Rattus norvegicus: one gene and its partners. Each later gene encodes a partner of the first gene's protein in a complex. Links are inferred from orthologs where the notes say so. Each region holds a gene or a part of one and is shown in the gene's direction. Other genes may lie near its edges.

Region 1 (3,513 bases):
TACTATCTGATGGCTGGATGACTGCATGGCCACTTCAGGCAGTGGCTTGTGTGAAGAGAAAGCCACTCAGGGGAGAATTGGAGGGATAGGGGATGTAGTAACACTGAGAATGTCTATAGTGAACAGTATAGACCTATGTGAAGGCAGGTGTGGAAGGTCCTTCTAAGAGAATGTTGTATGGGCCTAGAATCCTTTCTCCAACTTTCCCTAAACCCAAGAAAGCCTCCACTGGCTGAGATCAGAAGCTCAAGGAAGGCTAGAGTCTAGGATAGGAGTTCAGCGGTCGGGTGTTTATCAAGCATGTATGAGGCTTTGAATTCCAATCCTCAGCCCAGTGGGAAAAACAAACAAAAAATCAACTACAAGGGCTCATGCACTGGGTATGTATCAAGAGCTGGGACACCCAGCAAGCAGGCCTAAGAGATGACTAGGATGCCTGAGACCAGACACAGGTTCTTAGCATAGCCTGACACCGACTGCCCACACCAGTATGTAGGGACACGAATCGGCACTGACTTCACAGAGGAAAGTAGAAAGTGCTTTCTAGGGACAGCAGCTGTCCTGACACTTCTGGGCGGGCCTTCAGGAACAAGTGTTGATGCTTCTCCATTCCAGACTCTCCTACCAGGACGATGAAAACCGACAACTGACCTGTCTAGAGGAGGACAAGAGGGAGATCCAGCCATCTCCGAAGAGGAGTTTCCTTCGCTCTGCCTCTCTAGGTAAACCCACACCTTGCTCTGCCAACGTAGACAATAGTCACCTCTAAGATGGCAATGGTCAGACAGCAAGTGACAACGGAGAACTTATTTGGGCCTCACTCAGACAACCTCTAGAGATGGCCTGCTAGACATGCGAAGTGACAGAATAGCTCTCCAAAGACAGAGTCTGTCGGAAGGGGACATAGACAGTGGCTACTCAGATGCCTCTGACAATATAAAGAGCTTGGGGCTGACAGCACTGACCCCTGTACGTCAGCAGTGAGCCTCTCTTAGTCAGCTTTCTGTCACTGTAATAAAACACTTAAGATGGCCAGCTTAAAAAAACACGAGAAAGACTAACGAACTCACAGATTTGGAAGCTTGGTGTATTACTTTGGGACCTGTGACAAGGAGGCACATTATGACAGGAAATGTGTCCTTTGCCTCCATAAATAAAGGCAGGAAAGAGATCAGTGTCCCGAGTTCACTTTCAAAGACACATCCCCACGGTAGAAAGCCTCCCAAGAGGCTCCACCTTTTAAACATTCAGCCAGCCTTTCAACTCTACAAACTGGGGATTGAGCCTTTAATGCATGGCCCCTGGTAGACATTGTGGTCTAAATTACGCAGAGCTGTCACGGGTCGGTGCCATCACCTGTGTCCTGATTCCAGTTCTCTGCTACTTTTGCAGGTCGAAGGGCCTCCTTCCATCTGGAATGTCTAAAGCGACAAAAGGATCAAGGGGGAGACATCTCTCAGAAGACAGCCTTGCCCTTGCATCTGGTTCATCACCAGGTATTAACGTCTGTGAACAGGTCACAGCCGCACAACCTAGGATGACAGTAGCTCCCCAGATACTTTTCTGTCTTCCCCTCTCAGACCTCTGTGCACCAGCCCCTGAATAGGGCCGACTACTTCTCTACACATAGGCAGGTCCCTATGAAACCACAGTGAGGATTCCTCTCGTGAGTCTAACTGGAAGCCTCAGGGCTCGTGAGCTTTCTCCTTACAGCGCACAGATACCCCCCCCCCGACTCCCACACTGCCTGATGCTGCGTGTACCAACTGGATACAATATACATGGGGATTGATGGGACCTAGACCTTGAATGTCAGAGCAGTCTATCTGTCCACTGCAATGCAGATATGACGACAGCACCTGTCAGTAACATGGCCAACAGAAGGAAATGCTGGGCGTGGTGGCCATGCCTGTAATCACAGCATCCAAGAGGCTAAGGATAGAGAGTTTTAGACTAGGCTAGACTGGCAAAAAAAAAAGTAGGATTTGTGTGTACATGGGTATGCATGTGTGTGTGCATGTACACACATATGTGTTTTCTAAACTGATATCACTTCAGCTCAAAGCCAAAGCACTGTCTAAATAGGGATCATAGTCATAAACTTTCCAACCTAATGCACACAGGGTTATGCTTCCTTTAGATTTCCAGGTACCCAGAAGCTGGGGGCCCTCATGAGCTGGGAAGGAGGAAGAAAGGCAGGGTCGCTGTGTGCTTTTTAAAATGGTTTTCCCAGGTTGGTTTGCCCACCTGTCTTCATGCCCATAGGGAGTAAACTAGCTTCCCCTGTGTGTCTTTCTGCCACCTCCAACCCATCCTCTCTGTCTCCCAGAGATGGACATTCCCACCATGTGGTAGCATTCTTTTCAACAAACATATCCCATCTGGACAGTGCCGAGAGAGTCACAGTGACAGTGGCAATTCAGACCTACCCTCAGGAGTCTCAGGAGCATTCGGGGGCAGAAGGCAGGCATGGAAATCCTTTAATCATGACGCAGTCTAACGAGAATAAAGAGTTCAAAACACACTCTATTGAGAATGACAAGAGTGTTTTCAACTGCCTTGTCTCACTGTAAAAGTTAAAATAATGGCGACTGGTATTCCTAGCTCTCCATGATGAATACCGTCCCTCTAATGCCTTATTTCACTTGACATCACACGGACCTACAGGTCAGTTTGTAGAGAGGGCACTGGCGAACTGCAGCTCTGTGTACCCACACATCATCATTGTCCTTTCTGTTCAAGTGGGAAAAGCCAGAGTGACCGAATCAAGATGCTACTACGGCTGATAGAGCCAGTCTAAACGTGGGATGGTCCCCACTGTACTCAGTTGTAAGGTCCTGAAGCTAAAGGGAACTGCTATTATGTCCGAAGAAAATGCTCGTTAAAAATATATCTGGATATTAAATGTTACACCAGTGAGGTAGACGGAATCTTGACTTCCAGAATTCTAAGTCGAATTCACTGGAAAAATATTGGCTCCCAAGTTCCTCAGAAGGCAGAGGGGCGAAGCCTCCTAGTAAACTCCTGTTTCTTATGTCCACAGGCATTGGCAGTGGCAGGCTTGAGCCCCCTCCTGCAGAGAAGCCATTCTCCTTCCACGTTCCCCAGGCCACGCCCCACGCCCCCTGTCACTCCAGGCAGCCGGGGCAGGCCCCTACAGCCCATCCCTACCCTGCGGCTGGAGGGGGCGGAGTCCAGTGAGAAACTCAACAGCAGCTTCCCGTCCATCCACTGCAGCTCCTGGTCAGAGGAGACCACAGCCTGTAGTGGGGGCAGCAGCATGGCCCGGAGAGCCCGGCCCGTCTCCCTCACCGTGCCCAGCCAGGCTGGAGCTCCAGGCAGACAGTTCCACGGCAGCGCCAGCAGCCTGGTGGAAGCGGTATGTGAATTCAAGCTCTTTCGGGGAGAAACGGGGCCCAGAAAGCAAGAGAATTTGGTGCAGAGAAGAAAGCCTGGCTCCTTTCCAAGTAGATTGGCTGTCAGTGTATAAACTAGAGAAGTGCTGAGGGAGGG
Region 2 (4,076 bases), about 130 Mb from region 1:
GCCCGAGGGAGGGGTGATTAACCACCTTACAGCCACAAAACCATGACAGCTTCTTCGCCTTAGTGTGAGGGTCTTTTTTTCTCATCACGAACTGTATTCTCTGATTTCGCGTCAAAGTGTTTTCATATCCTTCTGCAAGCAGCTTAAGAATTCGGGCTGTTCCATGAAGTCTTTCTCACAGCGGCCCACTAAGTCTTTCCTCCAAGGTGGCCTGAGCCAGGCAGGAAAAGATTGTTTTGTTTTGTTTTGCTCTTTCCAGAAGACCCTCCCTCGCCCTGCTTCTCCCCAGGGTGGAGGTAAAACCAGCCCTTCCTCCATATTTCAGATGTAGTTTGCAGAGGGCCACCTGTTTCTGAGGTTAGCCTCGGTTCTGTGTTCACGCTGACAGAGTGAATTCATCAGGCTACAACCTTGTTCACAAAGCAGTCCAGTGGTCAGGACAGGGAATTTTTCAACCAGTTGGAAGGTGGCTTGCTAAAATGTTACCAAAGCCCGGTTGCAACACTAACCACCCTGCAAGGAGTACTGGTCCCTCTAGTCTTCATTCCTTTGGAACAGTAGGAAAGACATCTTACAGCATCTGCCAGCTGTTCTTCATCCATTCCCAGCCCGCCTCTGAGGCTCTGTCCCCGCCAGGTAAACCAAGTCTACTTGTACGTTGGCGTAGGGCCGCTGGCACCATTAGAGCCCTACCAAAGGCCCTAACCCCTGGCACACCGTGAAAACCAGGGCCACCTGGTTGAGTTCACAGCGGCGCTTTCAAAAGCACCACAAACCCCTCCTACATGTGTTGTCAAATCACTTCATGATTCTTAGGCAGGCAGCGGATTCTACGCCTGGGAGAAGGGTTTGGGGGCCCCAGCCAGATTGTGCAAAAAATAACCCGGAGGAGGCGAGCAAAGTGCTCGGCTGGAGCCTGCGCGAACGGTGGATGCTCGCAGGCTGCCGGTGGTCCCTCGGGGAGCACCTTCGGGCTGGGTCCGCTCGGCCTCCGCACGCCCCGCGGCGGGAGCAGGCGACGGCGACTTTGGGAGTTCCTCTCTGCCTTGTATGGAGGGCTGCGCCCGGGCCGTCCCCGCCCGGCTCTGACGCCCGGCCCTCCCGCTGCCCACCCACAGCCGCCTCCCCGAGATCCGCCCGGGGAAGGCAGCCCGATCCCCGCTCCGGCCACCCCCATCCCCGCAGCCGCCGCGTCCCCGCGCCGCCCCCTCCGCCCCCGCCCCGCCCCCGCCCTCTCCTCGGCGACCGCAGATAAATCAGGGAGGCGAGCGCGGGGAGCCAGAGCGCGCGGGCGCCGGCAGGCTGGCCGAGCTCCGTTTCCACAGTCGCCCTTGATGGCGGCGCAGGCGAGGCAGCCGTGGCACGGAGCGGCAGCCACGCGCTAGAGAGTCCGCCCGGCCCCGCCCGGCCGGCCCGCCCGTGCCCTGCCCTGCCCGCCTCTCTCCACGCGCCCTCCGGCAGACGTCGGCGCCCCGGCTCAGTCCCTCGCCGCGTGCAGCTCCGCCGCCTCCGGGCCGGCAGGGAGGGCACTGATCTTCGATCGCGAAGATGGCTGCTGGCTGCCTGCTGGCCTTGACTCTGACACTTTTCCAATCTTGGCTGATCGGCCCCTCGAGCGAGGAGCCCTTCCCTTCGCCCGTCACGTAAGTCGGCGGGCCCGGGGTGGGGCTGGAGGCGGGGGTCCCCGCTCGATGCCGGGCGGGCTGCCCGTGGGGGCGGGGAGCGCGGCTGGGAGCCTCGGAGGCTGGGCCGCCCGGTGATGCGCTGCTGGCCGCCGGAGTGAGCTCGGAACCGGCGTGCCGAGCCTCGGCGGGCCGCACCGTCCCAGGGAACGTCAGCCAGCCGTCGGCGGCGTCTCAACCTGGTCTCCGAGGATGCTCCAAGCTGAAGACTGTAGCCGGACTTGGGGGAAAAACTTTGTAGGCATACCCAGCTCCCACCAAACCCAGCCAGATGAAAAGTTGAGTTTCCGTTAGGTATTTCAGAGTTAATTTCAGGCAGACCCGGTAGCTTGCGCTTCTTCTGTACTTGGCCTCTAGGATGCTAATTTCTCTGCTGTCCAAACTCATTTAGATCCCAAATTACTAGGAGCGCCTGACAGCTTCCCTGGTATTTAGCCAGTTCGCTCCCGGCAGCTGAGCGAGCTGTCCACCCCAGCGCTCACAGGTACAAGAGCCACCCAAGCCAACCTACCCAACCCTTTATTTGAAACATCTGAGAGCCGACAGACACGCGGTTCCAGTTCTTAGAATGAATAGAACCTCTATTCTTTGAGGGTGGGACTGTTTCCCCAGTCTCCTGCAATTTTCCCTTATTTTTAACATTTCTAAAATAACTTTCAAAAAGAGAGAGAAAGAAACCGTTGCTATTCTAGAAATAGAGTGTTGAAAGGTAGCTATAGTCACACGGCAGGAAGGGAATGCAATGCTACCATTCTCCGCTCTGCTCTCTCGGGGTGCAAGAAGGAATCAGAGTCAGTGGCACATATACATATTTTTAAATGCGCTGAATAGCTTATCTGGCATTCTGGGAAAGCATTTATTTTGGTTCTTGAAGGTACTCTAAAGCTGCTCAGAGTAGGTAGTCTTAAGTGGGTGAGTCACTTTAATGCATTTTACATAACAAAAACAAAGCCCAAGGTAGCCTTCCTGGCTTTTATGCCGCGGGGAATCACTTGCTGTCCTTTGTTGGCAGCGAGCTGAACCCTGGAGTTTTGGGGGTACACTAGAAGTACATCTATGCTAGCTGGAACCCGACAGCGATTACTTAAGATTTGGCCTAGAACATCCATCACGTTAGGTGTCAGCGCAAGCATCTAGTGCATATTCCAGCCAGGAGAAAGGGGGTGTCTAATATTTATGGCATGGATTTACGGTAATGTTCTCTTTAGATAATCTTCCATAAAAACGATCGCATATCCTTTTTGTCGTGAAGCAAAAGGGTAAAAGCCATCTGTAGAGCTTCGTTTAATTGGCAGAAGGTTCCAACTGTTTAATTTTAAACACGAGAAGTCTAAGAATTCCCTTAAGATGCTACAAAAAATCATCCAGTCTTATTAAGAAACCGCACTTTCACTTATTTATATTTTAGTGCTTTTGACTCGGCCTATTACATAAGAACTCGGTTGCCTCTCTTGCATTTTGTGTCAAATAAGTTGTGGCATTTAATAAGCCACATTCTTGACTTATTCGGAATGCACATTTTTAGTGCTGTTTTAAATTGATTTGCCAATATTGCTACTAATTGGGAAGGATGCCTCCTTCCATTAAGGAAAACAAAACACAAACAAACAAAAAAATCCAGACAAACAGTATTATTCAGCATGTCATAGTAAAATCCGAATGTAAAAATCCTTCTTATAAGAACATATGCAATAAATGTTTTCCCAAAATTAAGTAACTCAATTTTCCTGGTCAGATATGTGTTAAAGACATGAAGGAGATCAGGAAGGCATTTAAGATGGGAATTAGGAAGCCACGATTCCTTTTCTTTGAAAGGATGTGTGTTGTTTCAAACAATGGGAGTATGAAAATATTTCCATATTATATGCAGTGTTGCTTTATGGACTAAGAATGGGCTTTGTAGTCAGTGTCTTTATCATAGTATTAAAAACGTTCTGGAAACCTTCCTGCTTCTGCAATTACTTATTTGTAAAGTTAGTAATTCTATCTTTGGAGGAAGGGTAGTTGACATTTGTACTTGATGTTAGGTTTCAGAATAAAATCTGTGGGAAAAAAGTGGCATCAATCTCTTCGAAAAAACAGTGCCATTTGCTTTGCTTGCATGAAAAAAAATTAAGTGCAGTATTTATAAGATAAAAGCTCAGATCATCTGGGAAAAAAAATCAAGTTCATAAGAACGGAATCCAAAGATTGTAGCAATTATTAAAGGTCAATTATTTTGCTTCTATTTATAAATTTCTCAGAATATCATTAGGAACTTATTTGTTTTGTTGGCAGTTTTTTTTCCAGCAAAAATAAAATAAAATAAAATGAGAAGTTTCCATCTTCAGAAGAGGAAGACCATGCCACTAATATACTGTAACATTAATTAGTTGCTAATTGGAGTTGGACATT
Region 3 (3,513 bases), on another chromosome or scaffold:
GGAGAATTAGAGAGCTGGTGTGGGGAGTCCGTGACTTAGATGGCGTGTGTGTGTGTGTGTGTGTGTGTGTTCCTCACACCCAGGATCTCCATCACCCGCGTCACGGCTGACCTCTCACTGGCCAAGCGCTCTGTGCTCAACAATCCTGGCAAGAGGACCATCATCGAGCGCTCTTCTGCCCGCTCCAGCATTGGTGAGGAGTCCTTTGTCCCTGGCTCTCTGCCCGCTTGATGCTAGTGAAAACCTTGAACTCCTTGTGGTCTTGCCCACGCCCCACCACCTGTCCCAAGTGCTGCCCTCCTCCCTTGCCCAGTCCACTGCCCGCCCAGGCTTGCTGGTCCGTTCCATTCGCCGCCGTGTAGCAGCTCTGGAAGCCCTGGCAGTTAGCAGTGGCCAGAGCCCCTGGTGAGCTGCTCCCCTTCCTCAGCTGAGGTGCAGAGTGAGATTGAGCGCATATTCGAGCTGGCCAAATCCCTGCAGCTAGTGGTGTTGGATGCTGACACCATCAACCACCCAGCACAGCTAGCCAAGACCTCACTGGCCCCCATCATCGTCTTCGTCAAAGTGTCCTCGCCAAAGGTAAGTGAACTGGGGTCACTGGGGTCCCCTAGAATACAGTGCACCTCTGCCTGGGTCTTCCCTGGAGTGACCGGTTCCTTTTCCTGCCATTCCTTAACACCCCGAGTCCTCCTCACCCAGTATAAATGTCATTCATAGCACAAGGTGGGAATTGAGCCTAGTTCCTTCCAGGCTCAGATCTCACCAGAGCCCACGAGAAACGCCACGCCCATCCCTGCCCTTCTCCTCCAGGTACTGCAGCGACTGATCCGCTCCAGGGGGAAGTCCCAGATGAAGCACCTCACTGTACAGATGATGGCATATGATAAGCTGGTTCAGTGCCCACCTGTGAGTGCTTGGGTCGGCTGCACCCACGGCCTATGCCAGAGGTTAGAGCTCAGCATCATTGCTGCAGAGAAGCCAAACTCGCTGTGTGCTCTCTCTCCAGGAGTCATTTGATGTGATTCTGGATGAGAACCAGCTGGACGACGCCTGTGAGCACCTAGCTGAATACCTAGAGGTTTACTGGCGCGCTACCCACCACCCAGCACCGGGCCCCGGGATGCTGGGTCCGCCCAGTGCCATCCCTGGACTTCAGGTAGCCATTTCTTTTTTTTTTTTTTTTAAAGATTTATTATTATATATATAAGTACACTGTAGGTGTCTTTAGACACACAAGAAGAGGGCATCAGATCTCATTACAGATGGTTGTGAGCCACCATGTGGTTGCTGGGATTTGAACTAAGGACCTCTGGAAGAGCAGTCAGTGCTCTTAACCACTGAGCCATCTCTCCAGCCCCAGGTAACCATTTCTACTGGGCAAAGCTCCTGGCTTGACCGAGGATTATTCTCAGTCTGTATGTGAAGCCAAGGGACACAGGCCAAGGGACTTCCTGTCTGGACAGCATGGTGACTGAGATTAGAGCTGGTCCTCCTAGGGTCCAAGGAAACACCCCACACCTTTCTCCCAGGCACTTTTTAAGGAAGAGCCTGAATTTGTAAGGAGCTAACAGTCCAGCTTTCTGCCTCTGGCCTGGAAAATGCCCCAGCTTACTCCTTCCTTGCACTGTTCACTCTTTTAAAAACCTAAGAATCAAGACTAAGGGAGGAAGAACCCCACCTCCCTGCCAGAGTCCTGGGAGGAACAAAGGCTAGACCTCCCTTACCTTACTTAGAGCTATTGTATGTCCCCCAGAACCAGCAGCTGCTGGGGGAGCGAGGTGAGGAGCATTCACCCCTGGAGCGGGACAGTTTGATGCCCTCGGATGAGGCCAGTGAGAGCTCCCGCCAGGCCTGGACCGGATCTTCACAGCGCAGCTCCCGCCATCTGGAGGAGGACTATGCAGATGCCTACCAGGACCTGTACCAGCCTCACCGTCAACACACCTCGGGGCTACCCAGTGCTAACGGGCATGACCCCCAAGACCGGCTCCTAGCCCAGGACTCGGAGCATGACCACAATGACCGGAACTGGCAGCGTAACCGGCCTTGGCCTAAGGACAGCTACTGACCACCTCCTGCCCTACCCTGGCAGGCACAGACACAGCGGCTGGGGTGTCCACCTCAGGCAGGTTGGAGTTAGATTGGCGTTAGGCTGCCTCTAGGTTCAGCTCACACAACCCTCTGCCCAGCCCTAGGTCCAGGGCTGACTGTGGTCCCAAGGTTCTGGGAGAAGCAAGGGGCCCCCTCACCTCCTGGGCACAGTGACCCCGTAGGTTCTCATCCAGGTACTAGCTGTGTTCTGCATCCTTGGCACCTTCCCCTGCATAAGAAGCTGCCCCGGTGAGCAATGATCTCAGGCCGGGATCACTTAGCAGGGGTCTTCCAGCCAGAATGGATACCCCTCTAAACAGCAGGAGGGTGTGAGTGCAGGCAATGTAGCATGAGGAAGAGACATGGTTCCTGAGCAGGCGTAAACCCTAAGCAAAGGAACTCCGTTCACGTCACTGCCGCACATTAGAAATGAAGCAATCAGAGCTCAACATGGCGGCACTTCTATCCCATCAGCTGGGGTGGGCACTTACACCTAAGACAGGAGCAGTGCAGGTGAGGCAGGACAGACAGCTCATGGCTGTAGCTCTGTTAGAGAACGGCCCTCCTCACCAAACCAGGAAGCTTAGCATCTGGCAAGACTAGGGAACTGGGGCACAGTCAAGCCCAAAGCCGGCCTGGACTGCGGGGAAGGGGGAGCAGCTTCCAGCCCCCCCACCCCCCTTGCTTTCCTCATTCTTTGCCCTTGCGTCTGTCATTTCTGTTCCTTCCCTCCATGCCTCCTGCAAGATAGGGGCTCCCTGGCTCGTAGCTGCCACTTGTTAAGTTAGGGTTAGATGAGAGGAACAGACACAATGAACAGCCCCAGAGGCTGTCACCTGGCTACCCTTGCCTTATGGCTCTAGCGTTTGACCTACAGAGCATGCTCCATTAAGAACCCGCCCCACCTCATTGTCATCTCCAATAAAACATAACGCACAGTCCCTTGGGTGTCTCTCCTCTGTTCTCTCAAGTGGCTCTGTAAATCTGCAGAGGTGAGGTTCCCTGGCTCATTCTCTGAGGATTCGTGAATTGGGGGAGACCAGCAACTGCAGCAAGAGGCCCTGTATGTGTAGGCACACGGGGGCACCCCAGGCCTGATGACTGGAGGAGGCAGTTGGCGGTACACAAGGCACTCTGAGAAATGAGGAAGTGACAGAGCTTCCCGCTGCTCGCCTCAGGCCAGAGGGCTGCACAGAGCAGCTACAACTTGAATTCATATACTTGCCTCCCTCTGAGGGACGGGGAGGGCCTGCGCCCGAGATGGAAAACCCATCTCCAGTCCTCCAGACCCAGCTGAACCCACCCAGCGAGCAAGGGAAGCAGGGAGTACATGTTGGCTCAAGTGTGGTTCCACACAAAAGCAGGAGAGACACTGCCATCCTGCTCCCTCCATCCCTCCCGTGCAGATAAACAACTATGTGA
Region 4 (3,438 bases), on another chromosome or scaffold:
TTTCCTTAAGCAGCCAGTCAGACTTCGAAAGAAGCATCTGCTGCCAGCAAAGCAGTGCTAAGCAGTGAAGTGCGTAAACATGTGGTTCATAGAGAAGTCACGAGTGATCTTACAAGTCGTGTGAGGAGAGGTCCAGCAGCTTCAACAGAGCAGGAATACGTTAAGCTGTTCCATGTAGCCCGCCCGAGTCCTCACGGCCACAGTTTGTGTAGCAATCCGTTTGCTGGACTTCAGTTTAGTACTGAAGAATGTCACTTGCTCTCTGATGAGGAAGCTGGCAAACCCTTTATTTAGCTGTGTATCTCTGCAATGGCCTCCTTACAAATATCAAAAAAATGCACATTATAGCATATTGGATATAGAAGCTAATATTTCAGATGTCTTAAAAAGTGATTTTTACTTTAAAATGAATTAACAGTGCTAAGATTTTTAGAAATATTTCCTGAAATCAATGGCCATTTGGGGTTCATGATATATATACATATTTATATATATGTATCTATATAAAGAGTTGATAAGGCAGGAATTTTTGAGAACTGTTAGGCGAGAAAGGACAGCCATCAGCTTTATACTAGTGCTTAAGTCTGCAAGAGATTTATGGAAACGTTAATTTTGGGGTTAATCTCTATGTTGTACTTTCTCAATGATACATGCTAATCATCCAGGGCCAAGTAGAAAGTAGTCCATAATGCACTGTGTAGCTCACCCAAGTACAGATGTTCCTGTTATAAACCCATACCTTTTACAGGTTTTACAAAGGTTAATAAAATCTCGAGGAAAGTCTCAAGCAAAGCACCTCAATGTCCAGATGGTGGCAGCCGATAAACTGGCCCAGTGTCCCCCGGTAAGTAATCTACACGGTCCCAACAGTCTAGGGGTTAGACCTCCAGTGTAGAAAGGGTGCTTACATCTGGAGGGAGAGGCTCCTCCTCACTTACAATGGCATTCACTCTAAGGAAGTATGCCAGCGCCTGTGTGATAGTGCGCCTTGAATACGTGCAGACCAGGTAATGGTCGCCCTTCCGAAAACACCACAAACACCCCATGCAGCCCTCACTTTCTGTTAAAGGATGGTGGTTTGTAAGATGGGACTTCTTCGGAGTCTGGGTCTCACCCACTTCTAGAAACATGCAACAGGTTGTCCGAGAAAGTGAGTTTCACGTACAAGAACGGCAGTGGGAGCGCGCCTTCTGCAGCACACACTGAGGTCGGAGGATAGCATGGGTCTGGCCCTGAGCTTCCGTCTTGAGACAGGCGTCTTGGTGCTGGCTTGAGTATACAACAGGCTAGCTGGCTTGCTAATTTCCAGGACTCTCTTGTCTGTACCCTGTATTCTTGTACAAGTGCTGGGATTACTAAAACTCGACGCTATGCATCTAGCTTTGGCATGGGTTCTAGAGGTTCAAGTGCACAGCAAGCACTTCTCCCAGTGAGTTATCTCACTAGCCCCAAAGCCATATTCTTTCAAACTGTAAGAACGATCTTTTATTGAGGGAGGGGTCATTAATCCTTCTTTGCCGCAGCCTTCCTCACAGCTGCCAGCACGTTACTCAGCTCCTCCTGCTTTCTCTTGGCACAGATGTGCACACCCACCCTGCTCTTGATGAACTTGAGTGGTGCTTGTCCTTGGACACTTTGAGCAACTCTGTGACACCCTGCTTGCTCGTAGGGCTCAAAGCTGACACCTCCCGGACCATATCCCGCACGAACTTGGTGTGCTTGGTGAGGCGCCCATGGCGCTGGCTGTGTCTCAGGTTGCTGACATTTTTGGTCACTTTGTGGCCCTTGTTGAGGCCTACAGTCATGAGTTAGCACAGGGTCATGGCTGCTGCTCCCAGATGGTGGCCAGGACAGGAAGCCCAAACCAAATTTTTAAACAGTAAGTTTGGAACACATTCCTACTTTTACATATTATACTTTGGGACTATAGTTCCGATCTAGTATTCATTCAAGTACAGCAATTTCAGAAGATACTTTAAATCAGCCAAATTCATAATTGTATATTACATTTCTTGATCAACAATTTTAAATCCTCAAAAGTAAAGGACCTCATCTCTCACTGATCTCTCCCTACACAAAAATGTTAAGTTTGGACTATTTCTGCCAATATGCATGACCTAATCTTGCCTCATTTGCTTCCAGAGCTTTCTACAACCTGTCTCAAGACCAAGCACCCTTCTAAACTGATTAGATTGTTCATGTTTTCTAGCACAATATCAACTTTTTACGACTGACAGTAACTCCCCTGCATTGCCCTCACCGACCATGCTGACAGCCGTCCGTTCTTGAGCAGTTAACCACTCAGTGTTAATTAAGGATTTGAGGAAACACACACACACACACACACAGGCTAAAAGAGCCAATGGAAAAGGAAATATCAGGGCAATAACAAATACAATGGGCAAGGCCTCTCTTCTGTTTACGGGTTTGAGGAAAAGACAGACTTGGTCCTGCATTGCATTAATGTGCTATCTGAAATGCTTACCTCAGCAGGAGTCATTTGATGTGATCTTGGATGAGAACCAACTTGAGGATGCTTGTGAGCATCTCGCCGACTATCTGGAGGCGTACTGGAAGGCCACCCACCCTCCCAGCAGTAACCTCCCCAACCCTCTCCTTAGCCGGACTTTAGCCACCTCAACTTTACCTCTGAGCCCCACCCTTGCCTCTAATTCACAGGTAAGAGCACTTCCTTTTATGGTCTTCATAGAGAATGTAGGCTGTCTCAGCTGATCCCCTGAGACTCAAGTCCAGTGAAGGGACATCATGCTTGATCTGCTACTGTTTGCTCACCAAGAAGCCCAAGTGCCAGCTGACCAAGTTCTATCAGTCCAGTATGAATTGTGTGCCTAAACAAAGAGCTGTGAACATACCTCAGCCATCCCTCTGCGAAGGCTCTGGGATAGTATATGTCCTCTGTATATCCTCCAACTTAATGAATTTTAATCTGTTCAAGCAGATTAGTTAAGACTATGGTTATAAGATACCCGTATCAGTATCAGAATCACAAAAGACTAAAAGTCACCCTTCTTGCCCCTTCACTGAAATGAAATGTTATGGGAACACTAGTCCAGCTTAAGTCATGCCACTGAGTATGTCAAAGGAGTGAAGGGCTGGGCTTCATTTCGGGTTTTGGTACTTCAGACAGACAGACAGACACACTTACACGATGCTGCTCCCAAGACATGTTAGTTCCTCAGCTGATGCCCTCATGTGTGTCCCTTTGCCACAGGGTTCTCAAGGTGATCAGAGGACTGATCGCTCTGCTCCCCGGTCTGCTTCCCAAGCTGAAGAAGAACCTTGTCTGGAACCAGTCAAAAAATCCCAACACCGTTCTTCCTCAGCCACACACCAAAACCACCGCAGTGGGACAGGTCGAGGCCTCTCTAGGCAAGAAACGTTTGACTCTGAAACCCAAGAGAGCCGAGACTCTGCCTA
Region 5 (4,264 bases), on another chromosome or scaffold:
GTGATTAGAGAATCAACCATCACCTCTCAGAGTCCACAGTGAGGAGTCTAAACAGCCCACGGGCTCCAGGCAAGCAGAACACAGAAAATAGTCTTTATTTTAGGGCACTGGACCTTGGCAAGGCTTCATCTTACTTATCTCTCTGCTCTCTGAACAGCGAGCTGGGTGGAGGAGGAGGAACTGGCGTGCCCTCTTGCCACAGATGGCCCCCACATTGCTCATTAAGCACACCCAGAACCCCAGCCATCTTTTTTGTTGTGGGGCATGTTTGTTTGTTCATTCATGTTTTGTCTCTCTTCAAACTTAAGATGAGATCTAGGCTGACCTCTAGCCCCCAGCAGTGCTGTTCACCATCACACCGCTTCCCGGCTTCTTATTAATTTCAACCCGCAAAGACACCATAGTGTTAGCAACATAGTAGTAAAGGAAACAAAGAATGACTGGTTTATTCCAGACAGGGCTTCTCTCTGTAGCCCAGGCTGTCCTGAGGGTCACTTATGTAAAGAAGGCTGGCCTGGAATTCACAGAGATCATCCTGACCCTGTCTCCACAGTGTTGGGATTAAATGCGTGCCCTACCACTGCTTGGCTTGAGGACGACCCTTTTAGGATCCAATAACCAGCTGAGCCTGAGCCAAATTGGCCCGGAGTTGCTAGGATCCTACTTCTAGCCACAGTTCTGGGACATTCGTTCCTTGGACAAGGATAAAGGAGAGACAGGCCTAGGTCAATAGTCATGGAATATAGTTTTGAATAGCCCCTCCTCCATCTTCATTCTTCCTCCTCTTTCCTTTCTTTAAGAAGCAACAGGGGCTTACTCCTGCCCTTTTGGAAAAGCCTAGGGGACCTTAGTTATTGATGAGGCCGAAGTAATTCCTGGGTCCCTGGACAGCATTTCTACTATCCCTGTTGGCCTTCTCCTTTGGACACTCACCCCATCATCCATCCTCAGCCTCCAGGCAGCAGTCCTAGAGTCAGTTGGAGAGGGAGGTCTACTCAGCTAGTTTCATGGCGGCCTGGGCCTCACACTGGGGAGAAAGGGGTTAAAGCCAGGTCCCAGGATCACAGGGATCTGGAAGTTCCGGTGGCCCAAGCTGGAGTCGCTCAGGGAGACCAGCTGAGAGAGTAGTTTGGGACAGAAAGGAAAGCGTACCAGTCGAACCAACCTGCTCTTCACCCCCATCAACGCTTGGCATACACTGGTAAACGCCCCCCACCTCCATCCCAGCCTCAAGGCCAGTTTCCCCTTGGTCTCCTGCTGGCAGACCTCATCCCAGACTAATCAGAGGACAGCGGTCGAGCCCCTCCGCCTTCGGGAGGCCAGCCGGGCTCCGCCGCCCCGCCATTGTCTGCGCGCAGCGGGCTGAGGGGCTCGAGGGGCGGGGCCGCGGCGCGGGGCGGGAGCGAGGGAGGGGCGGGGGGAGATGCTGAGCCTTCAGGGGCGGAGGCGGCGGCGGCGGCGGCGGCGGCGGCGGCCGCAGAGAGCAGAGCGCGAGCCGGGAGGGCAGCAAGGCGGCGAGCGTGCAGCTGGGCGACTGCACCCGGTGCTGGCTGCGCGACGCCGCGCTGCTCTCGGCTCGGACGGCCTCTCCCATGCGCTGAGGGCCCCCGGCTGTGCCGGGAGGGCGGCCGGACCGGAGGATCCTCTCCATGGTCCAGAAGAGCGGCATGTCCCGGGGCCCTTACCCACCTTCCCAAGAGATCCCTATGGAGGTCTTCGACCCCAGCCCACAGGTGAGACGAGGTGCCAGGCTCGAGGGAAAGGACCGCTCCTGGGGTCGGCTCGGAAAATCCCGGGAAGGAAAGGGTTATATGCCCCGCGTAGATGGGAGAGGGACGTCTGCGCGACCCCCCATTCCCGAGGGTTAATGATCGATGGACTGTTGGCCCGAGTCGGGCTGCGGTGCTGCGGAGCGAGCGGAGGCGGGTGGAATGCCTGTCAACCTCGCCTCCAGGTCTCCCCCGCGTCCAGGTCCCTGCTGCTGGGGTACCGGCTCCAGCAGGCTGACAGCGGGGATGCTGATGGGGGTTGGGGGGAATCCAGGCCTTGAGAAGCGGAGTTGGAGGGAGCCTGGAGAGCGAATCAGGCGAGGGGGGCGACGCAGAGCACGTTTAGGGGCGCTAGTGGGTGTGGGTGGGGCGGGGGTAGTACTGGGAAAAGGCAGAGACGATGGTCAGAGGGCGTTGCCAACAGGCCTTCGAAGGCTCAGGCGTTGGCTTTCTAAGGTGGGAAAGGGATCAGCTCTGGGTGGCCTTCCCCTAGTCACCTGGTCTCCATCTCTCCCTTGGATGTTTCCCTACTCCCAACACCCACATTAACTTACCCCTCCCCTTACCCCAAGGGGTGGGAGCCTCCAAAGTTTGGAAAGTTGGATGGGTGCCAACTCACTGTGTTGGAGTGGAGGACGCTGTTTTACCTGGGGGAGGGGCGCTGCCTTCTGGCACACTCACTTTCCTATGTGCTTCGGTTACCCCTAGGTAGGGGCATTCTTGGGCATACAAGGTCCCCATAGAATGACCAGCAGGGTATGTGGTAGCCATGCCAGGGGATTTCTCTAGGACTTGTCCTTCTCCAAGGATAGCATTAACCCTTGCATTGCTGTGGCCAGCCTGGAGCAACTGTAAGCAACATGATGTGGTTGATGGGTGTGTATGGGGGGTCAGGTCAGACCTAAAAATACTTTGTTTCTCCACCCCAGGCCCCTTGGAGCCTGGGAGGCAGCTGACTGATGCCTTCCTTTCAGCTGTCCCCTGTCCCTCTGAAGGCCACTCCCTTTGCCCAGTTGGGGTGGGGTAGTGGTGTGAAAGAGTCTGAGGTTGTTCACTGAAGAATCCTCTTAGGTCTGTGGAGAGCATCAACACTAGTTTAGCTGTATGTCTAGTTTCAAAGAAGGAAAGAGGACCATAGAATGTTCAGTCCGTGTGTGTGTGTGTGTGTGTGTGTGTGTGTGTGTGTGTGTGTGTGTGATAGGATCTTATATAGTTCGGGCTGGCCTTGAACTTCTGATCCTCCTGCCTCTACCTCCAAAGAGTAGAAAATTACAGGTGTGAGTCACTATGTCACTAATCGGCTTCCTTGTTACCAGGTCTTAGGAGTCAGAGCCTACAGTGTGGTTGAGGTGCCCCTAGGTTCTTTGGTCTAAAAAAGTCTGGGATAGAGGCTGGGGGCAGGAGCTTTTGGGCATTCTGCCCATTCTGTACTGGGCAAGGGCCAAGAACATGAGCTTGTGTGTGTGTGTGTGTGTGTGTGTGTGTGTGTGTGTATGTGTGTGTGTGTGTGTGTGTGTGTGTGTGTGTGTGTGTGTGTGTGAAGGAGAGAGACAGAGACAGAGAGAGATGCTCAATAACTTTGGCGTGTGAGAGGTCAGACAGGATCCCCCCACCCCAGCTAGAGCCCACTAAGAGAGAGTAACCATCTTACCTGGTACTGGCAGAACTATATGTCCTAGTCTCAATTTGAGGTGGGGCCTAAGGGCCTTTGAGATTGATGGAGCAGGGTTAGTACCATGGGGATGGGGCATGGGCAGTAGCAGCTGGCGTGGGAGTAGAGTGGATCCTGCCTTTGGGAGGAATATAAAAACTGATTGCCAGGATGGAGGTTGAGAGAAAGTTCTGCTAGGGTGGAGGTGAGAGTGGGAAGCTGAACAATCTCCCCAGGCACCAGGCCACAGGTTGGATGTTTACTTCTCAGAGACTCCCTCTTTTCCTTCCTCAGAAACATGACTTTGGGTCTTCAAGAGCAGAATGCCTTTCCCTCCCCACTCTGGGCTCGGGAGAAACCAAGCCTGGCCCTGGGTTGCCTTTTCTCCTCTCTCTGGGGGCATAGCACACTCTGCCCCCTCAGCTCCAGATGCAGGGGAGAGGACGTCCCCCTCTCTTCCTCTGCCCCCCAGCGCTGCAGGCAGCCTCTCCCTTCCCCCCGAGGCTGCCGCAGCCCTGCCCAGCATCTTAATTAGCTTTGCTGCCTAACGAGCCTTCTATTCCTCGGGCTTTCTGCTTCCCAGCCTTCCACTTGATTCGGGGATTCCTGGGTGTGCATCTCAGGCTCTCTTGCACGGTTCCTCATGGTGGCTGTTGTCTGGGCACTGTCCGTGAGGTGGAAGACCCTCTTTTCTTTCAGACTGGTTACCTCTAGGAGGAGAAGCTGAAGTGGGGGTGGGGCAGAGCGGAGAGTCCCCAGCTAGGCTGACCGTATACAGCCCCAGCCCCGGCAGGAGGTGGACTGGGAAGGCAGGCGTCTTTCTGATTCCACTCTTGTTCCTTCC

Evidence for each region.
Region 2: the proteins of Cacna1c (region 1) and Cacna2d1 are in contact, whole or in part, in a cryo-EM structure (PDB 8WEA), measured with the Homo sapiens proteins. The link is inferred for Rattus norvegicus from reciprocal best matches to the Homo sapiens genes CACNA1C and CACNA2D1. Residues at the interface, in NP_955630.3 of Homo sapiens: Phe147, Pro148, Glu149, Asp150, Asp151, Ser152, Asn153, Ala154, Asn678, Lys1090, Gly1091, Asn1092, Tyr1093, Ile1094, Tyr1096, Gly1099, Val1101, Pro1104, Ile1106, Arg1109, Tyr1156; in NP_001353796.1 of Homo sapiens: Thr170, Asp171, Tyr173, Ile233, Leu235, Gly262, Ser263, Ser265, Lys270, Thr274, Ala327, Lys328, Gly329, Ile330, Glu366, Gln391, His392, Tyr394, Ile416, Gly417.
Region 3: Cacna1c (region 1) and Cacnb3 share a complex: the UniProt entries of both Homo sapiens proteins name them as parts of the calcium channel complex. The link is inferred for Rattus norvegicus from reciprocal best matches to the Homo sapiens genes CACNA1C and CACNB3.
Region 4: Cacna1c (region 1) and Cacnb2 share a complex: the UniProt entries of both Homo sapiens proteins name them as parts of the calcium channel complex. The link is inferred for Rattus norvegicus from reciprocal best matches to the Homo sapiens genes CACNA1C and CACNB2.
Region 5: Cacna1c (region 1) and Cacnb1 share a complex: the UniProt entries of both Homo sapiens proteins name them as parts of the calcium channel complex. The link is inferred for Rattus norvegicus from reciprocal best matches to the Homo sapiens genes CACNA1C and CACNB1.

What each region holds. Positions count from the first base shown.
Region 1 is NC_086022.1:153,439,740-153,443,252, reverse strand, and holds part of Cacna1c (voltage-dependent L-type calcium channel subunit alpha-1C), read left to right. Parts: exon of another isoform or gene 1-615; coding exon 616-722; exon of another isoform or gene 723-1,392; coding exon 1,393-1,496; exon of another isoform or gene 1,497-2,496; intron 2,497-3,043; coding exon 3,044-3,379; intron 3,380-3,513. UniProt on the Homo sapiens protein: Pore-forming, alpha-1C subunit of the voltage-gated calcium channel that gives rise to L-type calcium currents. Mediates influx of calcium ions into the cytoplasm, and thereby triggers calcium release from the sarcoplasm.
Region 2 is NC_086022.1:20,327,335-20,331,410, reverse strand, and holds the start of Cacna2d1 (voltage-dependent calcium channel subunit alpha-2/delta-1 isoform 1 precursor), read left to right. Parts: upstream 1-1,263; 5' UTR 1,264-1,548; coding exon 1,549-1,643; intron 1,644-4,076. UniProt on the Homo sapiens protein: The alpha-2/delta subunit of voltage-dependent calcium channels regulates calcium current density and activation/inactivation kinetics of the calcium channel. Plays an important role in excitation-contraction coupling.
Region 3 is NC_086025.1:131,673,041-131,676,553, forward strand, and holds the end of Cacnb3 (voltage-dependent L-type calcium channel subunit beta-3), read left to right. Parts: intron 1-83; coding exon 84-193; intron 194-313; coding exon of another isoform or gene 314-387; exon of another isoform or gene 388-427; coding exon 428-579; intron 580-810; coding exon 811-906; intron 907-1,006; coding exon 1,007-1,156; intron 1,157-1,753; coding exon 1,754-2,068; 3' UTR 2,069-3,045; downstream 3,046-3,513. UniProt on the Homo sapiens protein: Regulatory subunit of the voltage-gated calcium channel that gives rise to L-type calcium currents. Increases CACNA1B peak calcium current and shifts the voltage dependencies of channel activation and inactivation.
Region 4 is NC_086035.1:82,812,215-82,815,652, forward strand, and holds part of Cacnb2 (voltage-dependent L-type calcium channel subunit beta-2), read left to right. Parts: intron 1-748; coding exon 749-844; intron 845-2,490; coding exon 2,491-2,679; intron 2,680-3,232; coding exon 3,233-3,438. UniProt on the Homo sapiens protein: Beta subunit of voltage-dependent calcium channels which contributes to the function of the calcium channel by increasing peak calcium current. Plays a role in shifting voltage dependencies of activation and inactivation of the channel.
Region 5 is NC_086028.1:83,512,340-83,516,603, reverse strand, and holds the start of Cacnb1 (voltage-dependent L-type calcium channel subunit beta-1), read left to right. Parts: upstream 1-1,457; 5' UTR 1,458-1,649; coding exon 1,650-1,733; exon of another isoform or gene 1,734-2,095; intron 2,096-4,264. UniProt on the Homo sapiens protein: Regulatory subunit of L-type calcium channels. Regulates the activity of L-type calcium channels that contain CACNA1A as pore-forming subunit.